Rhinolophus ferrumequinum: one gene and its partners. The protein of the gene in region 3 interacts with the protein of the main gene of each other region in a pairwise test. Links are inferred from orthologs where the notes say so. Each region holds a gene or a part of one and is shown on either strand. Other genes may lie near its edges. The genes, in order: AMOT, AURKB and SEPTIN1.

Evidence for each region.
Region 1: the proteins of SEPTIN1 (region 3) and AMOT interact in binary tests that used the Homo sapiens proteins (3 or more experiments, as listed by UniProt). The two-hybrid records come from large-scale screens. The link is inferred for Rhinolophus ferrumequinum from reciprocal best matches to the Homo sapiens genes SEPTIN1 and AMOT.
Region 2: the proteins of SEPTIN1 (region 3) and AURKB interact in binary tests that used the Homo sapiens proteins (3 or more experiments, as listed by UniProt). The link is inferred for Rhinolophus ferrumequinum from reciprocal best matches to the Homo sapiens genes SEPTIN1 and AURKB.

What each region holds. Positions count from the first base shown.
Region 1 is NC_046284.1:41,286,372-41,294,064, reverse strand, and holds the start of AMOT (angiomotin), read right to left. Parts: upstream 3,023-7,693; 5' UTR 2,963-3,022; intron 2,474-2,962; exon of another isoform or gene 2,055-2,473; intron 1-2,054.
Region 2 is NC_046304.1:10,789,278-10,796,560, forward strand, and holds the start of AURKB (aurora kinase B), read left to right. Parts: upstream 1-4,282; 5' UTR 4,283-4,413; intron 4,414-4,694; 5' UTR 4,695-4,719; coding exon 4,720-4,767; intron 4,768-6,773; coding exon 6,774-6,876; intron 6,877-6,984; coding exon 6,985-7,024; intron 7,025-7,269; coding exon 7,270-7,283. UniProt on the Homo sapiens protein: Serine/threonine-protein kinase component of the chromosomal passenger complex (CPC), a complex that acts as a key regulator of mitosis.
Region 3 is NW_022680357.1:742,185-749,407, forward strand, and holds the start of SEPTIN1 (septin-1), read left to right. Parts: upstream 1-4,164; 5' UTR 4,165-4,305; coding exon 4,306-4,417; intron 4,418-4,558; coding exon 4,559-4,698; intron 4,699-5,084; exon of another isoform or gene 5,085-5,225; coding exon of another isoform or gene 5,226-5,243; intron 5,244-5,325; exon of another isoform or gene 5,326-5,408; coding exon of another isoform or gene 5,409-5,411; intron 5,412-5,572; coding exon 5,573-5,663; intron 5,664-5,754; coding exon 5,755-5,841; intron 5,842-6,071; coding exon 6,072-6,195; intron 6,196-6,516; coding exon 6,517-6,651; intron 6,652-6,749; coding exon 6,750-6,867; intron 6,868-7,223. UniProt on the Homo sapiens protein: Filament-forming cytoskeletal GTPase. May play a role in cytokinesis.

The DNA of each region.
Region 1 (7,693 bases), on a different chromosome or scaffold from region 3:
TTCTTAAGGAATTCTAGAGTCTGATTGATTCTTTATAAAACTACAGATAAAGCAATTCCACAAAATGAATCCTACTTCACAAACCAGAAATAAGATTTTAATTTCCAAATACAAAAGAGTATATTGAATATGAGTTTTTAAATTCCCTTCTAAAATCTTTTAAATAGGTAAAGAGATCCACAACTTTCACAGAAAAGTTACGCGATATACAAGCCTGGTCAGAGGTTTACTTCATATCTAGACTATGAAGTTAGGAAAAGCACTTTCAATTTTACATAGCCAGACCTTTCCAAAGAAAGAAGTATCTTAAAACGAAGTAGGATGTAGTGCCAGAAAGTGTCTGTAAATGACACCGGATAAGCCCATACAGAATAGCTAGAACCTGAGTGTTATCATCTCTAAATAGATGCAACTACTCTACAACCACCTGGCTATTAAAATGTCCCAGGCCATTTATAAAATGTAGTTTTGGTCAGGCCAACTTTTCCCTCCCAGTTGATCTGAAACACGATAGATAGCCTTTAAAATTGTTGCCCTGTAACCTGTAACGTCCCCTTTCCCTTCCTGCTTTCCTTTCCCCCCATCAAAATCAACCAGTGAAATTATTTAAAAATATGTCAATAATTTCTTGCCAAATAAGCAATGGGTTGGGGACATCTTGGTAATAGGTCTTTGAATACCACCATTCTTCTAAGTTTGCCATGCTTGCCCAATTGGAGATAGGTGGCACATGGGTGAAAATTTACCCTGCATCCAAATAGTGTAAGATCCAAATGGTATCTTACACTATTCTTAGCTACTAAATGAGGGTTCTGGAAGGTCTAACTGAGAAGGCTTCACAAAGGCTGGCCTGAGAAAGGACTTTGCACAAAGTCTGGTTCAAGGAGACTTAAACAACCTTAGCCCTCCATTATTAAAGATTATGGTGACTACCGTGCTTCCCTGAAAAAAAGATCTAACCGGAAAATATGCCCAGCATGATTTTTCAGGATGACATCCCCTGAACATAAGCCCTAATGCGTCTTTTGGAGCAAATCTTAATACAAGACCTGGTCTTATTTTTGGGGAAACAAGGCAATTATCTTCCTCTCTGAATGGGAGAAGAGGGTTATATTAAAACAAAATAAACTGCCTCCCAACTTCCATTCTTCTTGTGGTGGGGGTGGAAGGGAAGGGAGGAGGAAGGAGAACTAAATTAGACACTCCAAGGTGTTGGAAAATTCTTTCTAAAGTACATGCTAGAGATTAGAAATGCTGTTTCACACAAACTTTCCCTTACCTATCTCATTTGATTCTATTTAGTCCCTTGCTGCAAATTATTATTAATTATTAGTGGCAATTTACCAGGGACTGCTCACAGTCTACAAAGACTGCCACTTCCCCTCTCACTTATCCTATCGAAAATATATCAATATATATCTTCATATATCTGTAAGTCCATCTTGCTGTTGAAGCACCAACAATGACACAGGTTTAAGACCCTCAAGACATACCTGCATGATCCCACAAAACTAGTCACTAACATGTAAAGCAGATAAGGGGCAGCCTCCTCTTCAACACACCACACACACACACACACACTCACCAAAAAAGTGTAGCGTTCGTTGTAGATTACTCCCAGACTTTAAGACTTCAAGAATTCAAGGTCCCCACCCCAACCCTAAGAATTTAGGAGGAACACATCTAGCAATCTGAGATAAGCATGGACTTTCTCCTTGAGCTAAATGTAGATCTCGAGTTCCCTCAGGTCTTTAATTTCTTTTGTACTTAATTACCTAGAGACCTACTAAGACCCCGGGAGGCAAGTAAGTAAAAGTAACATCAAGTTGTGGTACCCAGTAGCATCTCCGACGGGAAAGAAGCACGCACTTTTTAACCGATTTAACTTGCTGCACATCTCGAAAAACTCATGGCCAACTGCAAAGAAAGCAGAACACACGGGCATACCCGCACGCATGTAGATCGACTCACTTATGCCGAGGGCATGATCAAGTTCATGCCACCATGGATTCCTGCCCCAGTTACCCCGCGAAAAGTAACCACGCGTCTCCTACCCCTGAAGGCAACGAAGACAAGGTGACGAGTCTCTACTCGCTCAAGTGGCTTCGGTCCCAGGCCAGAGGCCAGAGATGGGCAGGGGGAAAGCCCCAATTCCTGGGTGCTTCCTCTTCGCTGTTCCCTCCGGGATCTCCTTGGTGGCAGTGGATAGGCAGGATACCGGGCCAAAGGGTGGAGCAGCGGATAGTCGGAGACGAGACAGACTGGAGGTGGGGGTGGAGGGGGTGGTGAGAACTAACAGAAGATAAAGCCAAAGAGAGAGGAGATGGAGAAATAAATCAGGGGTCTACCAGCTTGGGCAGTCAGAAAGCTCCTCGGAAGGAAGGGGCGTGACTGCGATGAGGGCAGCTCCTGGGAAAAGGATGAGAGGTAGGGGAGGGGGGCGAATGGGTGGCTTTTCTTCTTGCGATGAGCCGCTAGGACCGCCCAGGAGCCGGGAGTGGACTAGGGAGGGGGCGGAGTAGAGAGCGGGGAAAGAAGGGAGGGGGCCTGCCTGGAGCCTGGAAGGAGAGGGCGGAAGAGAGGTGGGGCTAGAGGGCGGGGAAGTTTCAAACAATTGAATGGCGGGTCTTACCGCTCGGGCAAAGGCGGGGGGGTTCTCGCTCTGGTCCTCCCACTAACATGGCACAAATCGGTTACAGTAGCCCTGAGAATCGACGCAAGGACTGGCTGGGAGGAAGGGAAGGGTTTTACAAAGACTACAATAATAATCTACGGCAACAGCGGAGCAGAGTCGCGTGGGAGGGCCAGTGAAGCTCCCAGCCCCACAGCAGGAGGAAGAAAAACAAATAATAGAAATGCTGAAAAGCAGCTTTTTGCAAAGCCTGCTTAAAATAATGCAGGAAGGAGCAACGCTTCTTCATGTTCCTTCCCTTCTTGCTTCCTATTACCAGTAGGCCCTCACCCAGGTCGCAGCTCTGCAAGACATCCTCCTTTCTTCCTCCGCTCTCCCTAGACTCCCGCTTCCTTCCACCACACTCACATCGCAAGCCCCTACCCCTGGTGGCGGGCCGCGCTGGCAGCGGGGCTGGCGTGGGCGGGGCTGTGCGCAGCCTCCGCCCCTGGGCAGGCTGGGAGGGCCGGCCCCTGCGGAGTGGGCCCAGAAAGGGTAAATCCCATCCACTGTTCGTTTGCAACTATGGGTTGGCTAATCCCGGCCTAGGATTCGCTTACGATTGGTGACTTGCGCTGTCGATCCGATCCCACCCGCCCTCAAAATTAATAAAACTAAACAAGAGGCTATTGTCTTGCTCTCTGTTCTCCCCAGCCACTGCTGAGAAGAGAAAGCTGAGACGGTTAGCTTCTCAGTCTCCTAAGAGAGTGCGACAATGTGTCAGCAGTCTCCGGCACACCTTTATGGCACTGTCAGGTCCTCTGGGGATAGGTAACTTTTCTTCCCCTTTAATTAATTAGTCCAGGAGAGGGAAAAGTACGTGAAGTGTCAATGAGGTGTTCACATTTTCCGTTGGTGAAAAATTGATGTTGCTTAAGAACACAGAGAGTTGAGAACAGCATCCTGGTACACTGAAAATCTTCCATTTTACATCTGGGCAATGAAAGCACAGAGAAACAGTCTAAGGGTGGCAGAATAACATGGAATTTGGAGCTAAAGGAAGAACTCATATCAGGCTTTAGCACTTACCAGGGAGCTGTGTGACTTTTGTGAGGTCGCTTAACATCCCTGAGCCTTAATTTGCTTATCTAAAAAGCTATAAAACATACCCTATTACTTAATTGCACTTGTATATAAAAATAAAATGAATTGTGTGTGAAAACTGTATAAATCACAAACCACGCCCACATGTATGTATGTATGTATGTATGTATGTATGTATGTGTTCCTACTTGTGTATACTATGCCCTGGAGAGACTCACATGTGTCTGAGAATCAAATATTCTGCTCATCTGTTTTAATCATTTACATCCAAGGTGTGTAGGTTTTGTGGCTGTATTTTAGTAAGTCAACTCTTTTCCTACAGTTTTGGGGGTGGATATGAAGTTGGCTCCCTGCAGTTAGAATAAAAAATTACCCCTTTTCTAACCAGGGTGGGTGAGATTACTTTTTTAAACAGTTCTGCAGTGGCGCCACAACGGTACTGGTACTGAAAAAGTAAATCATGCTGTGTATATCTGAAGTGAACTTGAGAAAACAAATATGAGGGAACATTTACCATGGAAACCACCATTCTCTACAGATCCATATTTCCTAGAAAACATTAGAAGGAGGAAGCAAGTCTAAATATAAAGGCCTTGACAACACAGAGCTATTGTAATGAACTCATGCCAATAAAAAAAGTGACATCCAATTCAAGCCTGCCTAATGGGAGCTTTCTGAGGGGCCATGGATCAAGGCATGCAAGAAAAGTGTGCTCAAAGGGAACACTATCTCACAGTGAACAGGGTCTCAGAATATAAACACACACACACACACACACACACACACACACAAACACACAGGAAAAGTGGTGAGTAGGTGCCATATTGTAGGGTAGCCTCAGTGTGTAGAGCACTCTACTAGGGCTGCTGAAAGATTCAGAAGCCGGAGCATGGACAAAATGGATTCTTGGTATAATTCTATATATGTGTGAGGTGAAGTTATTCCGGTGAGTTTTCATGGAGAAGGTGAGATTGTGAGCGTTAAAGACATGGAGACACCTGGTTTGTGAATCAAGGGAAGATTATTCCTGCCTTGCTATTTGGAGTGAGGAGGTGGACAGCGGAGTTAGATAGGATGAGTATATGCTACAGACTACTGTTGATCACAATGGCAACAGGATACTTGTTAACAACGCTATTAAAATGGAAAGAGTAAAATATGAACAGGGTTAAATTAAAACAGTACTGAAAGGAATACAGAGTTCCTCTCCATCACTCCATTCTCATAGTCCCTTTCTCCCTTTCTCTCTATGCCTGTGTGTAATCTTCAAAATATATTATGTCTCTTAAATATCCATCCATCTCAGGATAACTTCCTTTACCTTATTCTTTGTCGTGATAGCTCAGTGTTCCATTACACAGATGTGCAAAAATTATTTTACCCATTCCCCTTTTGAGGTGATTTTGGCCATTTTCCATCTTTTGCCATCACAGAAAATACTGGCAAACAAATCCTAGTACAAAGGCCTGGAGGCTGTGTCTCTAGGATGCCTGCCCCTAACCTTGAAGTTGCAATCAAAAGACTTTTCCAACTACACTTCCCCACAGCTATGGGGGACTTTCATACAATGGAAACCCTTAAAACACTTAATTCCCCCTCCTCAAATTCTGCCTTGGATATTATTCTTCTCCAAATTTAAGTTTTGGTGGAGTAGAATGAGCACAGCTCTGAAATTGATGGTCGATCACGTGTGTGATTCACTTCTTAGCCTGTGGCAAACAACAGGTTTTTTCGTACCTGTGCTTTGCCCAGATCTCTAAGCTTAGGTATTCCTTATTTCCTGCCTAGCAAGAGTTCATTTTGTTTCTACCCTGAAAACTCTTTGGTTTGTTTAAACTGAGTTTGAATTTAAAGCTATGCTTTACCAGCCCTACTTAAAAGGAAGGGGGAGGGGAGGCCAACATCAACAAACATCGATAGAGTTGCTATTGTGGACAAGAATGAAAAAACAGAGGGATGAGACTTGGCTCCTACCTTCAAGGGTATATACAGAAAAAGACAACTAACAAGCATATGCTAAGTGCTAGTTCCAGAGTGAGTTTATGCAGCAAAGTATGCCACACACATTTAACTAACCCCCAGAGCATCCCCATGTCCTCATATCCTGACAATAAGATATGGAGAAGCCTCTGGGGGATACCAGAATTAACCAGCAACTATAAAACACCTGTATAAAGACACTGGGTTGTTTAAGTACATTGAGAACCTCCACTTATCAATAATGGATATAATGATCATTTTAAGCTTAGAAGTCAAGTCTCCATCCCAAATGATCTGTCCTGTTGGCCTTGTTTTCAATGAAATGTAACTCCTCCTTTAACATGCAGTAAAAATCAATGTCTATGCTCTAAAATAAGTCAATGAAAAAATCAATGTCTCCCTTAAAAACATTATGCTAAGAAGCCAGACACAAAAGGACAAATATTGTATGATTGTACTTATCTGAGATACTTAGAATAGGCAAATTCATAGAGACAGAAAGTAACATAGGGGCTATCAGGCCTGAGGACTGGGAGGAATGGGGAGTTACTGTTTAATGAGCACAGTTTCTGTTTGATATGATGAAAAATTTCTAGAAATAGTGGTGATGGTTGTATAACATTTTGAATGTACTTCATGCCACTGAATTGTACACTTAAAATGGTAAATAAATTTTATGTTATGTATATTTTACAACAATAAAAAAATTAATGGTAAAAATCCTCAGGCTCGGTGTCAGGTGATAAGACCAAGATGTAGGCTGCCAAGAAGGCAGGACCCATGTAAAGGGGTAGCTTTCCCATGGTCAGCACCGTGGGAAATGCAGGCCCAATGTGGCCAGGACTTCGATTTTTCAAGAGAAACCAGACCAGAAATCAAATATTTTAATGGAAAATCTCCTGGTTCCTAATTTTGGCAACTAAAAAAATCTTTAAAAAGTCTGCCCTTTGCATGCAATATTTTTGCTCAATGTACAGGAAAAGTTAAGAAGGAGGATGCGGCTTACAGTCTATTCCTCAATCCCTGGCTAAATTCTTCTAGAAGAAAAGACCATAAAACCATAGTGCTTTCTATTGAATTACTTTCTCCCCCACCCACCAAGCCAACTGCAAGTGTGAAATGAGCACATCTTCCTCTAATTGCCTGGTGAACAACTAAATCATTTAAATGCATTTAGAAACAAAAGCACATACATTAGGGAAAATAAATCCTAAGGATTTATGGTTCCACATAACTCTCTCCTTCCCTCCCCCAAAAAACACCCGACAAATATATCAGACAAACACTGAAAAGCAGCCTTTCATGGGACACCTCCTAAAGTCAGTCTATTTATTCACAAAGATACTAGCCCTTCTCATGCAGAAATGAGCTCATCAGAAAATAGCAGCTTTATCTGAATGGGAAAGGAACAAAGGGACACGTGTGCAATGTAAGCATTGAGGTAAATGCTCTTCCTTTTGGATCCGCCCCCTCCCCTTCTCACCCTTTCCAAGCATACACACACACACACACACACACACACACACACACACACACACACACACACATATGGGCCAGACACAGGAAGTTTGAAGTCTGATCCCTGTGTGGAAAACAGCAATGTGGGAATTCAGGAAACACCAGAACTGTGCTCCAAGGCCAAAACCTTCTGTAGCATTTGGGAGCCAAGTTACTCCTGGGGTATTTGTGGGCCCCAGCATTTTTGAAATAAATCAGCTGTAGAAAAATAAAGTTGCATGAAAAAGTCTATTCCCCAAGCACCTCCTAGGGTCTTGTTTGAGTAACCTGGGTTCACCGCTTTATGATTTATGCAGGGCTTCACTTCAGTTTAACTAAATACCATATTTCCTTCCACAGCTTGAGTTTCTGGAAAGGCCCAGACTGTCCTTACTTCTCGGTAGGGTTTGTTTGCAAAGTCCTAGGTTAGCTGGAGCAAGAGGGAGGTAGAGGGACCCAGGAACACCCATCAAATTCTGCACTCTAAAAGGTGGTGGGATG
Region 2 (7,283 bases), on a different chromosome or scaffold from region 3:
TTGTTGGCATGAATCATTTTGAGAACGAAATACACACACACACACACACACACACACACTCACACACACACCCATACACACACAGAAGGATTCTGGAATGACACCTAAGAACCTAATGACAGTGGTTGCTTCTGGGGATGGGAGTAGAGGAGTAGACAATTAAAGATGGTAGACAGAACTGCCTGCTGCCTGAGGAGCTCTTAGCCCAAGATCTAGCATAATGAAGGCCTTTGTGGAATTAGGAGGACTGCAGCTTCTACTTGTTTCCTTGATTTGGATGTGTTCTGGGCAAGTGTTGGTGGAATGCAGCCATTTTAATTTCTACGCTGTAGCTTAAAGAGCACTATTTTGTCAAGATCAACTGGTAGGCCGTAACGAATTATCTCTGGGAAGTGGCTATCAGGCAATTGAAGTGTGACAAGACCAACTTGAATTTGATTATCCTGTTAGTCTCTGTGGAATTGTAACACAGGTTTTCTCTGATGAAGCTGTCATTCAATCCTAGCTTACCTATACACCAAGGAATCAGGTAATTTCTGCTGAACTTTGTTGGGAGTATACGGTTCCCAGCTCCCATGTCACACTTAACAACACTGAATTGAGCAGTGTCTTTGTGGTACCCCCACCTACTCAACAATGGTTCTTGGTACAGGACGGATACTGTGTGAGATATGGCTATGCCCACTTCAGAGAACACTGGTTGACACTTTTTTATGGACCATGCAATTACTCACTTCCAGGGAATTTCACCCAGCCTTTCACTTAGGAAATCTAGAAGCTTGTGTCCTTGGACATGGAGCAGCAACACAAAGTAGCCCAGTTTATAGATGTCACGTGGCATTTTACTTTTATATACTTACATGACTTTAATTCATTTCATCTATTGTAATCCCCTTCATGATGCCTTTGAGAAGAAGACCTTTGTGTTTTTAACTGTCAATGTGAACACAAATTCATGAATAAAACTTGACATATTTTACTGTAAAAAAAAAAAAGTTGGTAGAGAGACTTACTTTTAACTAGCCTGTGTAAATGTTATCATGTTCGTGTATATTTCAAAGTCCGTACATCAACAACATGGATAAATCTCACAAACATAACGTTGAATGAGAGAAGTCAGACACAGGAGAATATATATCGTATGATTCCATGACTATAAAGGACAAACAGGCAAAACTATGAAGTTAGAAATCAGGATAGTGGTTACTCTTGGGAAAGGGGGTAGTGACTGGAAAAGGAGGACGAGGGGTCCTCCTGGGGTGCTGAAGATGTTCTGTTTCTTGATCTGGGTGCTGGTTTCACAGGGGTGTTTAGTTTGTGAAAGTCATCCAGCTATTTATGTTCTGTATGTACACTTCAATAAAAAAGTCTTTAAAATGTATTAGAAGTGTAGTGTAGAGGCTTGTGGCACTGTCCATCTTGATCCAATCTGTGAAGACACGTAAATGGACCTGGACAGGACTTCCATCATCGTGGCAGAGACACATTTTGTCCAGGCCGGTGGTTTGTGCCAAAGGTGAACACTTGGGCTCTAATAGCCAAGAGCAAACCCAGCAATGAAGTTTGACCTGGGGATGATTAGGGGAGTCTGGATGGAGGAGGGCAGCCATGTCCTGACGCACCCACTTAACTCAGCAGCACTGCTTCAGCTTTACCTTAAGGGGGACAAGTTAGTGAAAAGACATTGGCGATATTCGCCAGCGTCTCCCAATGAGCCCCTTCTAGACCTTTCTGAGTCTACTACTCACTCCTGGACAGGGTTTCTTGGCTGATGATGAGAATTCATGTCTTGAAATTTCTTTGGTGGATATTCCATTATCTAAAATAAAAGGTACTGACATCTGTGCCTCCCAAACATTATAGTATCCCAGCCATCCTGCCCTGAACTTTGGAAGACAACACAGTTCTGAGCCTTCCCAGTCACATGAAAATTCAGCCTTGGCAGATAAACAGTGGTGATCCCCTCTCACCTACCCCTCTCATTGTTACTTGGCCAGTAGCCAGAATCCACACCTAACATGGACTGAGAGGTGAAAAGCAAAGCAAGAGGAAAGAAGAAAAGAGTTCCTTAGAGGAAATTGCTAATTTATGTCATTATAAACCCAGGGAATATCTGCAGAAGTGTCAACTTTGTGTGTGCCAGATTAAGGACAGTGAGCATAATTTTGGATGGGGCTACATTTATCACTATGGGTGTAGATTGGTGATGTTCAAAGTGTGGTCCACAGACTGATGCCGCTTCACAAACTGCTTCTTTCAGGTCCAGGATAAGTATAGAATTTAAAAGTAAGCATTTAAAAACTCATACGGCATTTGTCAGAGTACTTTTATATATGTTGATTACAAACAAACAAAAATGTGGGCTTGTAATTTTTATATTTTTTAGATTTCATTCTTTCAAGAACTCATTTTTATTGTATTTTATACAAGTATCATCTGTGATAGACTGAAAATAATCAAGACTGGTTCTTCCCTCACAGATCATTTATAACAGAGATTTTTGTTCACTAACGGAAACAGTCAGCTGATAGTTGCCGAGCTGATAGAACAGGTTTTTTTTTGCTTTTATGAATAATGCAAATCCCAATTTTATGCTCGCCCATCAAATATTCCTGAAAAGCCAAATATGTTCTGACATAATGTGCAAGTGGGAATTTAATTACTCCAAGGGACAGAGGTACTGTATTAGATCTATCAGGCATTATGTCCCCTGATAGCTTCCAAAAGAGTCTCCCTTCACTAACTCCTGAGAAATAAACTGTACTGCAAGTGATAGGATATTTATAAAGCTTTTTATTGGCTAGTCTCTCTACGCCAAGTATGTTGATGAAGGCATCGCTATTGAAAAGGGCTCCCAGATCTTAGGAAGTGGGGTTGGGTTGACCCTCAGTGAAAACCTCCAGAAGCAAAATGATTTCTCACAAATGGCAGCAGGGTGGTCATGATCCTCAAATCTCTGCATTAGGAAAGGAGACCTGTTGCCTCATGTAAGGAAAATGTTGAGATAGGCATCTAGAGGCTCAAAACATATCATCAAGGTCTTAGGTTCTTCCCAGACATCTCTCCTACCTTTTGCAATGTCACCTTCATTCTCAGGCAGCACCACCAGCATCAATGCCAGGCTGTTTGCTTCCTGGTCCACTTCTAACAGGAGAAAAGGAGTTTCTGCCTAGCGTTCTGGAGAATTCTAAGATTCCCACTAAATGGCCACCTTAGGTCACATGTTTATCCCTGAATCAGTGACCATGATCCTGGAGTAAAAGGTGTTGACATGTAAATCAAACAGGGTCTACTCCTGGACCGGGGATGGGGTCAGCTTTCATCTCACAAAACTCAAGGTGCTTTCAGGAAGTGGAAATCACTCAGAGCATGGATGCTGGCTAGCTAAGCATAATGTCCGCTACAAAAGGTCTTTATCAGGTTAGGGATTTGGAGTTAGCAGCAACAGAAACTGACAACAAGAATGCGGAGACAGGCAGTTCCCTAAAGCAAAGTTAGGGTGTTATTATTTGAAGACAGGAAGGGTGCTGGATAGGCAATACTACTACTTAGAAATATCTGCTAGTTATTTATTTCATAGAAGGTCTCAAGATGTATTTATTTAACCCAATAATAAAATTTGGGATCGGAAAGAAAAGAAAAGTAGGGAGGGTCGCCGGAAAGTGAAAGTGAGAGTCAGTCCAAATAACACGGCCTTCATCAGGAGACCTGCAGAGAAAGGTCTGCTGGTGGAAAACTACTAGGAAGGTGAGCGAAAGACTTTAAAGAACAAAATAGTAATGACACAAGAATAATTTACTATAATTGAGTCTAGATCCAAGTATCTGCGATGACTTCATATATCAAGGGTAGCATTTAAATTCCACTGGGGATAACTAAAATCCTTGGGCATTATATATGAGAGAAACATAGAAAGACTCTGGAAAAAAAACACAAACAACAAGTAAATAAATAAATAAATCCCACTAGGCATGGTGTAGTTTAACAAATTGTGCTGGCATAACTGGCTCTCTATCTGGCAGAAAACAGAGTTAGACCCTAGTTCATACATACACAGGGGTAAATTCCAGCTATATTAAAGATATATATATATGAATATTTTTATATATATATATGAGAATATTTGATTGGGAAATAAGGGAAACTTGCCTAAACCAGAACCCCAAAATGCTGCGGCTCGCATTCAGTTTCTTCCTTTGGGACCCTGCGGGGCTACGTCATGGGAAACCCAGCCAATGAGCATTGGGCCTGGGCGGTGCGCTCAGCCAATGGGGCTAGGGCGGGAGATTTGAAAGGGCCTTAGCGGGGGGCGCGGCCGGGGCGATTCAGTCGTTTGCTAGCAGACAACAGGTTGGCTGTGCCGCGGGCTCCAGGGGAGCTGACCTTCTTTCGTGGGTCTTGCGCTGGGAGAAGGCAAGTGATCAGACAGGTCTGGGGTCCATTGGGCTGGCCCGCGCGCACTCGGTCCGGCTGCTGGGTGCTCAAGGTTTAGAGATAGGGTCCTGGAAAGGGGTGGGGCTTGTAGCAGGGCGGGGGCCGCGAAGCCAGCTCCCGGGTGCGCTGAAGCGGTCAGTTTGCTGATATCACTTTCACTGGCCTTTGGCAATCGCGTCTGGCTACATCAGTCCGACCCCTCCTTTTCTCCCTCTTTTTCCTGTTTCTAACGGCTCTTTCTTTCTTCCTTCGTTGCTCAGCTCTCCTCCCCCTTTCCCTCTAAAGATGACTCAGAAGGAGAACGCATACCCCTGGCCCTACGGCCGACAGAAGGTAAGGGCTTTCCCACTTATCCTCCCCCCACCCTCATGGCGAGTTCCTGCTTCGAGATTTGAATTCCTGTAGAGGGCGATCCTCTAAGCACTTTCCTCTCCCTTATGCTCCAAGAGTTTGCTGGCAGAATCTAGTCTGATCATTTGCAGCCACATCCGGTCACGTGCTGCCAACTTGAATCTGACCAGTCTTGTAGGGACCTCTGCAGGGCTGAGCCTTCTTGTTATATACAAATGATAACAGACTGAGCAAGCAGGGTCTGGCCTTCGGGCCATGATTCCCAACCCTTGTCCTGAAAAAAAATAGGCTTAATAATTTGGACTTTATTTTAATGACGGGTGTGAGATAAGGATCTAAATAGATTTATTTTCCAGTTATCCCAACACCTTTCATTGAAGAGTCTATCCTCTGATTTGAAATACCAGCTTTATTATATATATTAAATTCCCACATATACGTGGGTCTATTTCTAGACTCTTTTGTTCAACTTGCTTATCTGTAAAAGTCGCGTCCAGCGCAACACGGGCAATGAGGATGCGAGAAGGGGCGGCTTTGGGTTAAGTTTTTAAGAAAGAAAGAAACAGAGACTTAATGCAGTTAAATCTCAGAAGGTCAGGGGACTCACAGTTCTCAAAGACTGGAGCCCAGAATAAAGCCGACTGGTGGTATCTATTGACAAGTATACAAGGAAGTGTTATTGCTTCTGACACAGTCTGTGAGACTCATCCATCACGTTATAGAAACAATCCAAATCAATTATGTTGGTCCCCAAACAGCTGAAGCAAAAGTCCTATGATGACTGAGGTGAGGTATGTGACTCCCTAAAGGATGTATATCACATGTTGAGACTGTTTTATAGAGCTGAGCAGAGAGAGCTTGATCTTATCGCTCTAAAGACTTTTCTCACAATTAGGTGAAAGGGGAAAACCAGAGAGTCAGCAGTGGTTTTTCCCAGGCAGGGGGAAGGGGAGACAAGGCCCCTTCCCAAATCTTTTTAAGGCAGCTCATGGGGGTCTCCATGGGGTTCCGCCTGGCTTGAGTTGTCCCCCCCCCTCCCGTGGGGAATCGTACTCGTCATTGGCTGCAACCCCTCTTTTGGAGACTAAATAGAGAGAAATATACAGTCCCAGGGATGCACAGTCTCACAGACTCTTCTTTCCTTAAGGAAAGACATGGGGGGACAGTCTGCTAGGCTGTTGTGTGACAACATGTAAATTCTATACTAATATCACTGTTTGGGAATAGCCTTTCTTCCTCTCTTGGCTAAATTAAAAGGAAGGAGCCCACACAGGCTTTGCTCCCTATTTGTGGGCTTCAGTATCCGGGAGGGTCCACCTGTCCCCTTGTCTACCAGCTCCCTCCCTCATGGAGCTGTCAAGAGCAGAGGCTGAGTGAGAAACCACTGTCACTTCTACACTGGTCACTCCCAGAAGGAAGTTGTGTATATTACCCAGAAGTTGAAAGTGAGAAGTGGTCCAAAGCCAACAAAGTAGCCCTCAGTGTCCCTAAAGCCTGTGGTTGCAAGGGGTAAACTGATGTTTGCTGAACATTCAAGGACCTTATCTAAGCCTTACTAGACTGAACTCTTTAGGGGACTGTGAGAATGCCTCTGTGCTGAAACTCCTTGAATTGTGGATCTTCATTGCCCCAGCCCTCTCTACTGTCCCCTGGGGTGGGGGGTTGGTGAACGAGTGGTGTTATGGTCAGGACTATAGAGATTGGACAGCTTCATGCTAGAGAATGTAGTGAGGGCCAAGGCCAATGAGGTGAAATGTTAGGTGTTGGGGTAAGTCCTTTGCTCCTTATCTTCGGCCCGTTTAGCTTATTTATTAATAACCCATTAATATGGGGCTCTGAGCAGCAATATTTGAGTAGCAATATTGTGGTCACAGTGCTCCTCTTTCAACTGGGAGTGGGTGGCTCTAAGCGAGAATGCTGCTTGTAGCACATTCCAACCTGGTCACTGGGACAAAGGCACCCTCAGAGCTCCCTGTGCTCTTTCTCAGGCTCATTCTGGCTTGAACACCCTGCCTCAGAGAGTCCTCCAGAAGGAGCCTGCCACCCCATCTTCGCTTGTCCTCATGAGCCGCTCCAGTGCCCAGCCCACAGGTAACTGGAACAAGGGGAAGAGGACTGACCTGAAGGAACTAGAGTCTGGGGAGGGTGCGGGGATGAAAATGTCAAAGGACGGCCTCAACCTCTCTGTTTTCTCCTTAGCTGCCCATGGCCAGAACAGCAGTGGGACACCCAACTTAATGTAAGTGCCCAAGCCTTGGGGTGGCAAGAAGAGCGGATGGGAGAGTGAACAGGTTGGAAATGAGGGAGGTAGAAGCTAGGGGCAGGAGGAGGAGGGATGCAGGCAAGAAAACCTGATCCATCTTCGACTCCCTTGGAAGAGAAATGGGGCTGAGGGCAGGATGAGCTGAGGTGCAGGGAGAAGCCAAACAGCTCAGGTGATCCACAAACTGGTACTCAGCTGCCTTCCCCCCACTCTCTAATCAGCCGGTCCTTCACAA
Region 3 (7,223 bases):
CTGGAAGCGGAAGAGCGGGGCCGCACCGAGCCGCTCTAGGACCTTGGAGGAGCCGCGCGCCTGCGGGGGCCTCCCGGTCGTCCCGAGCTCTTGCCGGCGGGCGACCGCGAGCTGCGGAGAGGGCTACTCTAAGCCGAGGACAGTGGCCCGAACTCGGTGGTATTAACCGTGTGCCTCCTGGGCTGCAGCTGGGTGTTGAGAGCCGGAGACTCTTTCTAATTGTCGCTGGGTTGGGCCACCCGCGCCCACCTGCGGGATCGGCCGACAGCGCCAACCACCCGGGCCCGGAGAGACAAAGAGATCCGAAGGCTGACCCAGGGAAAGGGGTGGGGGAAAGACCCAGGCAGACAAAGGGCGGCGGAGGGCGGCGGAGACCCCAGACGGGGCGGGGCGGGGCGCCGAGGCGCAGGAAACAAAGCCAGGCCGGTCCGAGAGGCCGAGGGCTGGGGTGGGGGATGGGGGCCGGGCCCGCCTAGGGTGGGGGAGACCAAGGCTGGAGCAGAGGCAGAGGCGAATACCTCTAGGGACGCGCCTGGGGAGAGGCGGGCCGATGGAATCAGACCTGGGCCCCGGAACCGAGACCCTGAGCCAGAGACTCAAAGTCGTAACCTAACAGCCCTGAGTCAGAGAAGCCGCAAAGGCAGAAAGAGAGAGCGAGCCAGCAGCATACCAAAATACCGGAGCAAAAGATTGACCGCCAGAGACAAAGAGATGTAGACAGGTAAGAGAGAAAGTCGTTGAAGCAGAGTCGGGAGGCGCTGTAAGAAAAGACCCGGAGCCTGGAGAGAAAAAGGCCCAGAGGCGGAGGAACAGACAATGAAACAGGCAGACAAAAAGAGACGCAGGTCGACAGCCCTACAAAGGCCAAGCCCTGGGAGAGGCTGGACCATTAAACCCTGTTTCCCAGCTTGGTGGGGCCCCGGCTGGGGCTGTGTTCCAGCAGACCCCCGGCCGGATACCCACGGTTTGCAGGATCCATACCTTGGGCAAGCTTGCCATTAGGGAGGAGGAAAGAAAGCCTGGAAGTGTCTGCAGCCCATCTAGTGATAGGGAGGGATAACGGAGGTTTCTTAATTCACCTTGAGTAGCACCCGAGTGCCAAGCCAAGAGTTTGGGATAAAGAGATGAAACACATACGAGATTTGTCCTTGGGGTGCTACCAGTTTAAAGAGGCAAGCCCACAAATCATGAACAATAACAAACTTAAGGTATGAGAGGTACCTGCACCTGTAGTGGGAGATGAGTTTGCCCGGGACCACCATCCAATATCTAGACACTGCCTAGGCGGTGGAAATGCAAAGAAACAGCACAGGGCTCTCAACCCAGTAGAAGATGGAAACAGTGCAGATGACGTGACAGATCCTATACTGTCCCCATGAACAAGCTCTGATGGGACCGTAGTACAGAGAGGGACCTTCTGTAGAGTTTAGCGGCTGTGGACGTGTCTTTGAAGTCATTTGTGTACAGAGTTTACTGTAGTTTGACCTTGGGAAGTTGCTTCTGTTTCCTAAACTGTAAATCAGGAAGAATGATAATTTGAATGGTGGAGGATTGATACTGTGGACAACCCTTTGCAAAAAATATCAGCTATTACTCTTTAGGCTGGAGTAATGAAGCAAGATGTGGCGTTTTTGAGCTGACGCTTCAAGGACAGCTAAGATTTCAAAGTCCAGAGCCTGGCTGAAGTGAAGAATTCTAGATAGAGGGAACGGAATGAACAGTGGCCCACACACTAATTGAAAACCTGCTTTGTTCTAGAAGCTTGAGATCCAAAGCTGATTAAGACTTATCCTCAAAAAAAAAAAAAAAAAAAAAAAAAGACATCCTCTAAGAGGAAAACAGAGAATAGTCCTGTTTAGATGCTGTGTGAATTGACATAGTAGGAAAGCAGCGGGAGCTAAGGATAGTACGGTAAGTTTACTCATTTATGCCACAAACATTTCCTGGGGTCAACATGTGCCAGGCACCTGTGCTAGGAAACAGGTAAGGGGGGAACCAGATGGCAAAGAGCCATCCTCTCTTGGAGGAACCTTCCCCCCAAAAGCTGGCCAGCCTACATGCATACAGAGCTAACTTTGACTTTGAGACGACAAAGCCTGGAATTAAAAGATCTGAACTTGAACTCAGGGCTAAAGATACAGAAGCCCTTCCAGGAATGCTTGGTGAGGCCACAGGGAGCTATGAAGAACAAGGCAAGATGAACTAATCCAGCTGATAATGAAATGGGAAAACTGCTGTCCACCATACACTGTCCCACAGAAAGCTCAAGATGGGGACCTTCTTTTCTCCAAACAAGCCCCATCCTTTATCACGTGAATGACTAGGTATGATTTGTTGGAGTTAATAAACATGTAAATGGAACATTGCATCGTTATTAATAAATGTCATCTCTACACTTAACACAAAGACCAGCCAATCGTCTTTTGTGCAGAGCAATCTGTTAATGTGCACAAATGCCTTACATACGTGACTTCCTTTGATTCAATAATTCCCCTTATAGAAACTAGGCCTAAGGAAATGGTTGGACAAGTGCACAGTGATGGTACCCAACACACGTTCATCCCAGCTCAGCACTGTTTATCACAGTGAAGAATGGGAATCAACCTAAATACTAAGCGTCCATAAAAATAACGTAGAGGTGTATTAGAGATGTATAGAACGTAGTAACAAAAATAGGTTTCCAAACAAAGTTATAGTATCCTAGTTTTATAACTATATATGTATTAATATGTATAGGCATAGGAGAAAAATCTAGACATAAAAATCAAAATGGTGTTATATCGTGTTAGTGATGTTAATTTTTCTAATCCACTTGTGTTTTCTTTTTTTTCTATGAGAATATGTGTTGGTTATCCAATAAATAAACATGTTCTTTTCTTAAAGGCTTTGAATAACTCAGGAAAGAGCTGATCGGAATCTGAACTCAGCAGGGGCAAGGGGGTGGAGAGTATAGAGAGAAGGGGACCAATTTTTCTGATTGACGGAAGGATTTGGAAACCAACTGGATATATCTTGTGGAAAGCGAGGGAGGGAGGAGTTCAGAGTTTTGACTAAGCCGGAGTGGGAAGGGGTATTAATCCTTCCCTGGGCTTCTCAGAGGACTCTATCCCCTCACACGTTTGTAGCACCAATGCTGTCCCTTGTGCCTGTCTTTTGTCTCCCCAGAGGACCACAACTCTGACTGATTCACTTAATCTTCTGCAACTAATCCACAGGAGCAGTCACTAGATTTCACACCCCTCAGGTCACGTAATAGCATGAGCCCATCTCACCTACCAGGCACTGTACTGAGAGCTGTATGTGTATTAGGCCATGTCATCCTCATCATGCCTCTGTGAGATAGAATTGTATATGGTGCCATTTAACAGATAAAGAAACTAAGTCCCAGAGAGGTTAAAGTAAGATGCCCAAGGTCACACAGCTAGTAAGATGACACAGCTCTTAATCTCTGTCATCATACGAAACTTGAACAACAACTGTGAATTCAGTGTGGCAGGAGTTTCCAATCCCATTTGATAGATGAGGAAAATTAAGGCCCAGAGAGGTGATTTTTCCCAAGGTTACGTAAAGGGAATGGTACTAGAAATTAGGTTGAAGTAAGGGTGAGATATACAGATGGCAACATGGATGGATCTTAAAAAAATAGTGCTGAATGAAAACGTTAACAAATATATATTCATACATATAAAACCATTTGTATAAACATGTACTGTATACTACACATTTCTCAAAATGTATACAAACCAAAAAATTACACATTTGAGCGAGGAGGGGTGAGGAGTGAGCTAAGAGGCTGCCTTAGTCTGCTCAAGCTGCCATAACAGAATACCACAGATGAGGACTCTTAAACAACAGACGTGTATTTTCTCATACTTCTGGAGACGGGAAGTCCAAGATTGAGGTACCAGTAGGGTAGGTTTATGGTGAGACCTCTGTCCTTGGGTGGCAGACAGCTGTCTTCTGTGCCTGAGCAGAGAGAGACTGCTAGTGTCTCTCCTTCTTATGACCCCAGACCTATCAGATCGGGGCCCACCCTTATGACCTCATTTCACATTAATTACCTCCTTAAAAGCCCTGTCTCTAATATAGTCACATTGGGGGGTAGGGCTCCAACGCATGAATTTTGGGGGAACACTGTTCCGTCCATAACGGGCTAAAGGGGAAATAGTAGCACCACAAGTGGACAAAGCAGATGGGGTTGCAGACCCAGCAGGAGACGAGCTTTAAAGGCTCAGAGAGGAGAGGTCGTTTGGTTCCTAAATGCTAACGCCAGTTTGTGTATACAACTGATTGACTCCAAAGCCCATGCCATCCGAAACTACTCGGAGTCCTGATAACAAAGTGGAAATGTGCTATTTCATTTTACCAATAGGAAATGGAGTTCAGAGAGGTCACAGGATTTGCCCAAGGTCACATGGTAAGTGGAAGTTCCTCAAAGCAAGGCTGCTTTTATATGTTCTACGGCCTCCTGGCCTTGGGCCCTGCCTAACTTCACTTCTCATGCTTTCATGCACGTTTTCGTGCAGTATATTATTTATCGGCCCTTTCTTTGTGCCAGGCCCTGTGAAAGACACTGCCCTCAGAAAGCTCAGCTGGAAGAAGAGACAGCCCGGGAAGCAAATGTGGACAATGGAAGGGCCTGTAAAAGATGCTGAAAAAATTTCACAGAAGAGGAAGAGCCCTTTGAAGGATGAAGAGGTACAGAAGGAACACCTCAATCTGGGCAGAGTCAAGGATGGGGCCACTCAGTGAGGGCGAGTTAATAATGGGGTGATGAAGCCAGAGGGGAAGGCTTTGGGTGCCGGCTCTGACTTGATTCTGAGGTCACTGGGGAGCCCCTAAAAGGTTTCAAGCAGGGGAACACCTTGGCCAGGATTCTGAAGGAAGGTCTCTCTGGCAGTGTTGTCCAAAGACCCGAAGTCTTTTTAACAATTGCAAAATTGCAAAATAAATCAATTGACAAATCAAATAATCCATTGCATGAGCTGGCAAAGAAAATTGATGCCCCCTGCCACCTCCAGTCCTGTTATGGCTTTTGGTCCTAGGATTCTTTTTTTTTTTTTTTTAAACCATCCCTGTCAAAGCCTTCATCTCATTTGCTGGAGAGACTACCCTGCTTCCTTCCTCTCTGCCTACACCCCACCTCCCACAAGGGTGATGTGGCTACAGTGGAACTTTGGGGAAAAGTTGTGCAAAGAACGGGTTGAAGCTTCCTATAAGGATGGATGGGCAAAGGGATCCAGGTGAGGACCCCAGGTGTCTTTGGTGTTGGCTTCCCCCACCTCTCCGGGCCAGTTAGAACATCTGAGCCTCCTACATAACCCGCCCCCTTGTTTGCTGCGCTCAACTTCCTGCCCCATCAGAGGAAGTGGGGAGAGACGGCAGGTACAGCAACAGCTAGCGGGGCCATGGTGAGTCCTTACGCCCAGGAATCCAGGCATCTCTGCACCCCCGTCCCCAGCCCCAGGGTCACCAGGCCCAGGTCTACCCACAGTGGACTGAGATCAGGTTCTACGGGGGCCCTTTCTGCCACTCCCAGGAGCCTCACACTGTCTGCCCCCCCCACCAACAGGACAAGGAGTATGTGGGTTTTGCAGCCCTCCCCAACCAGCTGCACCGCAAGTCTGTCAAGAAGGGCTTCGACTTCACACTCATGGTGGCAGGTCTGGGAGTTTTGGAGAGGGGACTGGTGTGGGTCCTCAAGAGACCCTGGCTGTCCCCTCACCTGACCAGGGGGACCTGGTCTGTCCACAGGGGAGTCAGGCCTGGGGAAGTCCACCCTCGTCAATAGCCTGTTTCTCACCAACCTCTATGCGGATCGGCAACTGCCAGAGGCCAGTGGTAAGACCTTCCCCAGCCTCTCCAGGCACCCTGCCCCGCTCCGATATCCCCAGATGATTCTCTTCCTTTCTATCTGGGTCTCCCAGGACTTTCTGGGTGACTCGGGCAGCTCACTGTTGGTCTCTGAGATTCTGCTGAAAAATTGGTGGGGGCAACTGTGATGCTGAGAAAGGCAGCTCGTCCCACCTCAGACCCCTATCCAGTTCTCTGACCTCCTCCTGTCCCCGTAGCTCGCTTGACTCAAACGCTGACCATCGAGCGGCGGGGTGTGGAGATCGAGGAGGGAGGTATTAAGGTGAAGCTGACCCTGGTGGACACCCCTGGCTTTGGGGACTCAGTGGATTGCTCAGACTGGTGAGGAGTGGGGGAAGGGATGAGAGCTCAGGCCAAACGTGGCTGCTCTGTGGAGACTGAGGGCTCAGGTACAGGGCTGGTCTGCCCTTGCCTCCCACCCACCCTGACCCAAAGGCGGGGCCTGCGTGGTGGCCACGTGGCCCCAAGTGCCCTGTGCTTCCCGACTTGTCACCTATGCCCCTGCCAGTTTTCACGGATTTCTTTGGTTGGAGCCCAAGAAACTACTTGCCACCCACGCCCAGTCCTGGCTAGCCTTCCCCGTTCCCTGCCACGTGTCCCCTGATCTCTGACCACACGCTCTCTCCTCTGTCCCCACCCCAGCTGGTTGCCCGTGGTCCGTTTTATTGAGGAGCAATTTGAACAGTACCTGAGGGATGAGAGTGGCCTGAACCGGAAGAACATCCAGGATTCCCGAGTCCATTGCTGCCTCTACTTCATCTCACCTTTTGGCCGGGGGTCTGGGAGGACACCCTGGGGGTTGGGGCATTTGGGAAGGGTGTGGAGGGAGTGTCTCTGTACCCCGAGACCAAGCCCTGGCCAATCCCTGGGTGCAGGCTCCGGCCCCTGGATGTGGCGTTCCTCCGGGCGGTGCACGAGAAGGTCAATATCATCCCCGTCATTGGCAAAGCGGATGCCCTGATGCCTAAGGAAACCCAGGCCCTCAAGCAGAAGGTGTGTGTGGGGATCGCTGACCTTCGGCCCCACGTGAAGCCTGAAGTCATGATCAAACTTGAGCTCAGCCTTGACGTCTCTGATCTGGGGGTGGAGGGACGTTTGGGAGCATGATGTGCAAGGCTAGACTAGGGGAAGGTGGCGAAGTAAGCCGCCTGAAGGAGCCCAAATCTCTGGAGGCTCAGAATGGACTCCCTGGGCTGGAGGCTGGGCTGAGAACTGCCTGAGGGGCCGGGCATAGACAGCCATGGTTCCAGATCGCCCTTGGCCCCAGGACGCTCACGACCCCCACCCTCCAGTGACTTCAGAGGCCTCCCCTGCTGTGTCTGCTTCTGTCTATCTCCTGGGATTTTGGT